Linked DNA regions of Oryctolagus cuniculus. The protein of the gene in region 2 binds, or shares a complex with, the protein of the main gene of each other region. Links are inferred from orthologs where the notes say so. Each region holds a gene or a part of one and is shown on either strand. Other genes may lie near its edges.

Evidence for each region. Proteins that work in one complex are often made in the same cells at the same time.
Region 1: G3BP1 (region 2) and ELAVL4 share a complex: the UniProt entries of both Homo sapiens proteins name them as parts of the TAU mRNP complex. The link is inferred for Oryctolagus cuniculus from reciprocal best matches to the Homo sapiens genes G3BP1 and ELAVL4.

The regions. Positions count from the first base shown.
Region 1 is NC_091438.1:122,750,316-122,754,386, forward strand, and holds the start of ELAVL4 (ELAV-like protein 4), read right to left. Parts: upstream 2,829-4,071; 5' UTR 2,663-2,828; coding exon 2,582-2,662; intron 1-2,581. UniProt on the Homo sapiens protein: RNA-binding protein that is involved in the post-transcriptional regulation of mRNAs. Plays a role in the regulation of mRNA stability, alternative splicing and translation.
Region 2 is NC_091437.1:38,784,761-38,788,322, reverse strand, and holds part of G3BP1 (ras GTPase-activating protein-binding protein 1), read right to left. Parts: coding exon 3,507-3,562; intron 2,643-3,506; coding exon 2,436-2,642; 3' UTR 1-2,435. UniProt on the Homo sapiens protein: Protein involved in various processes, such as stress granule formation and innate immunity. Plays an essential role in stress granule formation.

The sequences.
Region 1 (4,071 bases), on a different chromosome or scaffold from region 2:
ACCAACAAGTGAAAAAAAAGAAAAAAGTAAGATATTTTGAACGCAGCAGCTTCAAATCACAACTTAGAACGAAAGGTAACTGAAACAGAAGATTCATGAAATAAAAATACTTACTTTAAGGTAAGTACCATTCAACGATATTTTCTTTTCTGTTTCAGTCCATTCTATCATTGCATTGTTTTAATGTTTTTTAAATGCTGGTTCAGACCCAATAAAACAACTATAAGCAAAACCACAACCTAATATTGCTATTCTGTTCACTAACATGTATTAAAGATACAGTTCAACTGAGCCTGTGATTAAGCTCTGAAGTTTTATTAATTCTATTTTACATTAAGAAACCGAATCTCAGGGGCTGGCACTGTGGTGTAACAGGTTAAAACCCTGGCCTGAACCACTGGCATCCCATTTGGGTGCTAGTTTTAGCCCTGGCTGCTCCTCTTCCAATCCAGCTCTCTGCTATGGCCTGGGAAAGCAGAAGATGGTCCAAGTCCGTGGGACTCTGCATGCACATGGGAGACCCGAAGGAAGCTCTTGGCTTCGGATCAGCGCAGCTCTGGCTGTTGCGGCCATCTGGGGAGTGAACCAGCAGATGGAAGACCTCTCTCTGTGTCTCTACATCTCTCTGTAACTCTTTCAAATAAATAAAAAATAAATCTTAAAAAAAAAAAGAAACTGAATCTCAGAAAGTATAGGTGACTTGGGCTAAATGGACTCCCAAAAGTCAATGACAGATCTAAGATTCACAAGTTTTCTAACTCTGAAGTTAAGGAAACTTAAAAAACAACCCCCACCCCCCATAAAAGCCAAATTATGATATTATGATTATGATAAATCAACTCAATAAATGCATACTGAGTATTCACTATGTACCAGACACTGAAATAAGAAGGCATTTGACACAATCTTTGCCCTCCAATGCTAACTGAAGGTCATCAGATAAGACCTAACTTAGAGGTCAGAGTGTTGTGGTCAAGTCACTGCTTGGGATGCCTGCATCACATATCAAAGTGCTGGTTCAATTCCTGGCTGCTTCACTTCTAATTGAGCTTCCTAATATGCCCAGGAAGTCAGTGAAGATGGCTTAAGTACATGGGCTCCTGCCGCCCATGTGGGAGACCAGGATGGCATTGCTGGCTCCTGGCTTTGGTCTGGCCCAGCCAAGGCTGTTACAGGTATTTATGGAGTGAATCAGCAGCTAGATCTCTCTCTGCCTCTCTGCCTTCCAAATAAAATGAAAACAAATAATTTTTAAAAATACCAAAATCAGAAAAGTTAAGTGACTTAGTACACATACTTGTAAATCTAAAGTGGGTATTTTATATATTATTTATTTATTTATTTGAAAGGCAGAGTTACAGAGGCAGAGGCAGCGAGAGAAACAGGTCTTCCATCCATTGGTTCACTCCCCAAACAGCCACAGTGGCTGGTGCTGGGCCAGTTGGAAGCCAGGAACCTGGAGCTTTTTCCAGGTCTCCCACGTGGGTTCAGGGGCCCAAGAACTTGGCCAATTTTCTACTGCTTTCCCAGGACATAGCAGAGAGCTGGATTGGAAGTGGAGCAGCCAGGAGTCAAACCAGCGCACATACGGGATACTGGCATCGCAAGCGGCAGCTTTACATGCTACACCAGTGCTGGGCCCTAAAGCGGGTATTTTTTAATATAGGGGGAAATAAGCTAATTCCGCACCCACTACCACCTTCTCTTTGACCATCATTTACTCTACAGAATGAGCACTGGTAACTGTTGGCTAGAGCACACAGTGTACTCTTCTAATGGCACATTTCTTTACCATCTGAATAAAAGTTGGTATCTTTCATTCTAGTGCTTTCTGACAAGTAACCCTAAAAGTAGTCCTCAATGTGACTTCACCAATGATTGTCATCATCGTAACATCACAGTATGTTCAGAAGAATGCTCTAATGCCAATTCTTAGCTCTCTAAGTAACTGATATTTACTTTAGAAAAGTCTTTAGGATGCTTTTACTTCTGAGATATTGTCACTTAATAAAAAGAGAGGTCTAGCCCCTGAGAAACAACCAGGAAACAACAGTCCTTGATCTAAAACATTTCATAGCTACTAATCCAAAGTAGAAACCAAGTTAAAATACTGAACCTTCCTAAACCATAACTTTTACAACTGTCTCTCTAGCTTTACCTTTACACAGCCTATATTGCATTCACACCAAGCTACTTACAATTCCTTAAACAAGCCTTGTTAAGTTCCCATCTCTATGCCTTCATTAATACTATTCCTTCTATGTTGAATCCACCTTGCTTATAATTCTTCTGCTAATCCAGCTTCCTGGCTCAACTCAAAAGGTATTTCCTCCATAAAGCCTTGTCTTCTTCTTCTAACAAGTATCTCCCTCTTCTGTATATTGTACCATCTCTGCCAAAACACTGCCTACATTTTGTTTGTCATTATCCTTATTGATACTCATATTTTAATACATATTATAATATCTATTAAATAACATGACATTCTAGGAGGCAACTAGATTGTGCTTCCTATACAACAAACATACAATATACATTTCCTGAAACTGCATGGAAAATTTAGATCTAGAAAGGGAATTACCTTTTGTTCCTTTACCCAAGACAGGCGAACTTTGGCCAACCTGGACATATTCCCAGATACTCTGGAGTGAAGACTTTTCATATTGTTAAATATTTAACCTGAAGCAAGCAGTTGAGTTTTATTTTTGAAAAAAGGGGTTAACAGTACCTGTCTTAGTTACATTAACAAGATCAAACTGACAACATAGAGCAAATATTATATAAGGCTAAGTGAATATGAGATATGATCTCTATGGTCACAAATCTGTTAGAACAATCAAAGTTCTAGAATGTAAACTGCTCCTCTGTTCTAGGAAAACTGACACAACCTGAAGTATACCTCAGGAAGTGTACTGTCAAGATTACACCAACCCATGTCTCCAAAATTCACTAACTAGAGATCTTTTTAAGAGTTCTTAGTAAAGCTCTTCTAAACTTGAAGTTTTTCCTTCTTGTGGCAAATCTTAAGCCAGAAATATAAATTCAAGATTCAAGTACTGTCTTAAATATAGATGAAGTTCCAATTTTTTAAAAATATAAACACCTACCTAGCAACACAATCCTAAGAATATACATCTGCTTCTTATTTTGCCCATTTGCCTGCTCAAATCACTCACCCAATTATCTCCTTTTGGCCCTTCATTAATAGAATTGGATTTTTCTAGTCTAAAATCTAGAGAAGTATCTCCTATACTTTCCTTTCTCCAAAATGTAGCCTTCTCCCTTTTTATAAATATATTTCTTCCCATATAAGCATAGTCTAAAACTAAGAAAATACCTTCTAAGAGCTTGTATACCACACACAAAACCTACACACATAAACCTGCAAAACCTTTTATGATTTTTGGTGAAGCTTTGAAATACATAGACTCATGTGGAAAGAGAAAAGTCCTGTTATCTATTTCATAATAAAAGTTGTTTGCTTTTTTTTTTTTTTTTTAAAGAAATGAAAGTACAGGGCCTGGAAAACAGCAGTCATGGGATCAGATTAACTTACAACCCTTTCCCATAGGTGAGTTATTCATTTATTTAGAGGCAGAGAGAGAGAGCGAGTGAGCGAGCTCCTATCCACTGGTTTACTGTCCAAATGTCCACAATGGCCCAGACTGGGCGGGGGCTAGAGCCAGAAGCTGGAAACATAATCCAGGTAGCCCCTGTGGGTGATAGGAGTCCAACTACTTGAGCCATCACCACCACCTCTCAGGTTCCGCAGTGGTGGGAAACTAGAGTCAAGAGCTGGAGCTGAGAGATGAACCCAGGCACTCTAATGTGGGATGCAGATGTTGTACCTGCTAGGCTGAACACCTACTTCCTCTAAGGATTAAATTGAAGAAAAGAAGTAACTCCCACTCACATCCTTTCCATGACTGTATATGAAGTGAAATTCAAAATCTGTGACAGTAAACGATGTTCTAAGATTGTGTTTTCAGTTTAAGTCTTGAACCCCTTCAGGAATAAATTCTTTTTATTTCTCCATTCTTTTTTTTTTGGACAGGCAGAGTGGACAGTGAG
Region 2 (3,562 bases):
CCATAGGTAACATTAGGGCTCTTAAAAGATGGCTGGCGCCGCGGCTCACTAGGCTAATCCTCCACCTTGCGGCGCCGGCACACCCGGTTCTAGTCCCGGTCGGGGTGCTGGATTCTGTCCCGGTTGCCCCTCTTCCAGGCCAGCTCTCTGCTGTGGCCAGGGAGTGCAGTGGAGGATGGCCCAAGTGCTTGAGCCCTGCACCCCATGGGAGACCAGGAGAAGTACCTGGCTCCTGCCATCGGATCAGCACGGTGCACCGGCCGCAGCGCGCCGGCCACAGCGGCCATTGGAGGGTGAACCAATGGCAAGGGAAGACCTTTCTCTCTGTCTCTCTCTCACTGTCCACTCTACCTGTCAAAAAAAAAAAAAGAAAAAGAAAAAAAAAGAAAAGAAAAAAGGCTTGCTTCACTGTTAGAAAATATTTGGTGTCCTTGGCCCCAATCCAATGACACCAGATAGTCTCTCTCACTCTCCCCACATCTCACTTATTTTGAAACACCCTCTATGACATAACTAGAATTTGAGAATCACTGTATCTACTCAGCACTTTAAACCTCTGAGTAAGAAGAACCCTTGATTTCACATGTATGATTGCGCACTCATCAGTAAAACCTTTTGACTTCAAAGTTACTGCCATTTGTTTTTCTCAAAAGGATCTCAGGCTAGCTTTCTTTTCAAAACAAGCTTAACATAAGCTACAAAAGTGCAAGCTTTTTCCAATTATGACAGGCGTGGGTCAAATGAAGTGGTTACCAAAGAGTTATTTAAGAGCCAAATGACTCAGTCGCCTAAGTTTCTTTATATGAAGAAGATGCTACCATTTTTTCAAGTATTTGAAACAGCGGGACCAAATTGGTAATATCAAAATTCATTTAACACTTATCCAACCCCTTCACAGCCAACAGTTTCTGCAAAATGAAACATTCTTATTCCTATACTATTGCTCCAATGACAGTCCTGCAGAGGAACGCTGTTAAGAAAATAAATTAAACTGACAACTTAGTTGTCCTTCCATTAGTGATCAGTTATCACACAAAGGCTTGTTTCACATTTGTGTAAACAAAACCTTCACCCACCTCACACCCTCACACACAACACTCAACAAATAACATAGTATGCGAAACGAGTATTAGTCTATATTACCAGATTAAATTTTCTTCCAGAAATATTTTAATAAAAATTTGGCCATTTCCAAGAAATACCCACTGCATGCCCATCAATAAAAGAGAACCTTAACAAAATAGAAAATTTACCATATGGCTATGATTTAAAGGAAAAAAAAATTGCAGACACTCGAGTATATCAGTGAAGTAGTGAAGTCCAATATTAAAGTCACATTCCTTCTTATGGGCTATGATTAGGAATCCGGTTAGATATCAAAATAAAACTTAATACAAATGCAGAACTATTTAGGTCAAAGGACCTCTATAGAAATATCTGTCCTCAAAGGCATTCCAGTTTGAGACTCAATTTTAGAATAAGGCATAACAAATGTTAACAGATGACAAACAAACAAGGTGTTGATAAAGGGATTCTACAATTTCCCACATACTCTTAACCTGGTAAAAACAAATCTAGAATTTTTTTTAATTTATTTTTGTTTAAACAATTGTCAAGACTGGAATCAAAGAGAAGGCACAACAGTTTTGCTCTGGTTTTTTGTTATTTGGATTTCGGGACTTTTTTTGTTTTTGTTTTCTATTTTTTTTTACAAATACAAATTAAACATGAAAAAAATTCTACTTCAAAAAAATTCTAACAGTTCAAGAAAAGCTCATCAGTTGCATACTACACATTTAAAACCTATCTCACAATTTAAGTTTTAGTGGTAGAAACAGTGTTTCAGAATTGTTTTGTGATCACATACCAAAACAAATTAACTCTATTAACACCTTTTATTCAGTTTTTAGCCATACTAGAGAAAATGAAACTTGTTAAATTTTTCAGTGGCAACTTTTCTACACCAGAAGGTCATGACTCTCATAGAACAATTGGATTTTTCTTGCCTTCAAAATGTTTATCAAATCCTGTATCTCACAGGTTTCTGGAACATGTAGAAAATAAGAATATTCCAATGAATGAAACATACCAAATGTCAGTAATAAGCAAGACACATTCCTTTGGGGAAATGGCTATTTTAAAAAAATCCAGTCTGTATATGCAAAGTGTAAGCAAGGAAATTCAGTCTTTTGTCTTTATCTTCTTTATAAATCCAATACTCCTAAAATATCATTCCACAAAATTGGAAGTGAAGGACTAAAGGGAAGAAGGAGGGAAAAGGAGCACACACCATTAACACAAGAGAAGTGAAGTTGTACAAACGTAAGCAGTTTATAACAGACTAGGTCATACTCCAAGAAAGGCTGGTTGAAGAAATTCACCACTCTGCAGGAGCTGGGGTTTGTACGGCTGTGTGATGATCAGCGATGGGTAATTCATTGCCGTGGAGCAATCCCCCTTCCCACTCCGAATCCGGGTTTCTGCACCATGCCTCCACGGGGAGGGCCTCGCATTCCACCACCCAGCCCACCTCGAGGGCCTCCAGGTCCCCGCAGGCGGTTATCGCGACGATCTCCCTCCCTAGCAGCTCGAGTCTTCTTCTCTTCCACATTCAGACGGACTTCACCTCTGAACATGATGGGCTGTAAGAAGCAAAGTGATCTGACTTCACTCAGTGTGCTTACGGGCTATCAAAACAACAAAAAAAAACACAACAAAACAAAGCAAAACAAAAAAACCAGCGGAGCCAGCACTGCGGCAGAAAGTGCTAAACTGCCGGCATCCCGTATCAGAACACAGGCTCAAGTGCCAGCAGCTCCACTTCTGATCCCTGCCAATGTACCTGGGAAGTAGCTGTGGCTGGGACCCTACAACTATGTGAGAAACCCAGATGAAGTTCTGGACTCCTGGTTTTGGCCTGGCCTGGCTTCAGCCACTGCAGCCATTTGGGGAGTAAACCAGCAGCCAGAGTATTTTCCAGTCACTCTACTTTCAAATGCACAATTCTTTGTTTTAAAAAAAGAAAAAAAGAGGGGCCGGCACTGTGGCACAGCGGTTAATGCCACCACCTGCAGTGCTGGCTTCCCATATAGGTGCCCGTTCAAGTCCCAGCTGCTCCACTTCTAATCCAGCTCTCTGCTAAGGCCTGGGAAAGCAGTAAAAGATGGCCCAACTCCTTGAGCTCCTGGCTCCTGGCTTCGGATCAGTGCAGCTCCAGCCATTGCTGCCATTTGGGGAGTGAACCTGCGGATGGAAGACCTCTCTCTGCCTCTGCCCAACTCTGCCTTTAAAATAAATAAATCTTTAAAAAATAAATAAATAAACATACTGCTTAGTCTTGGGACAAGTAACTGGGAAGTAATTTATCAGGATCTTGTCTGGTCCACTGGGTTTATTACATTCTCTAAGATTTGAATTCAAGGCCAACCTAAACATATTGGCCATAAAATGGGATACAACAAAAAGTTTACAGGAAAATGGAATTAGAAAGGTAAGAATCAGCTTACCCTGTTGCTAAGGACCTTCTGAACAGGCTCAGAATCATCAAATACAACAAAACCAA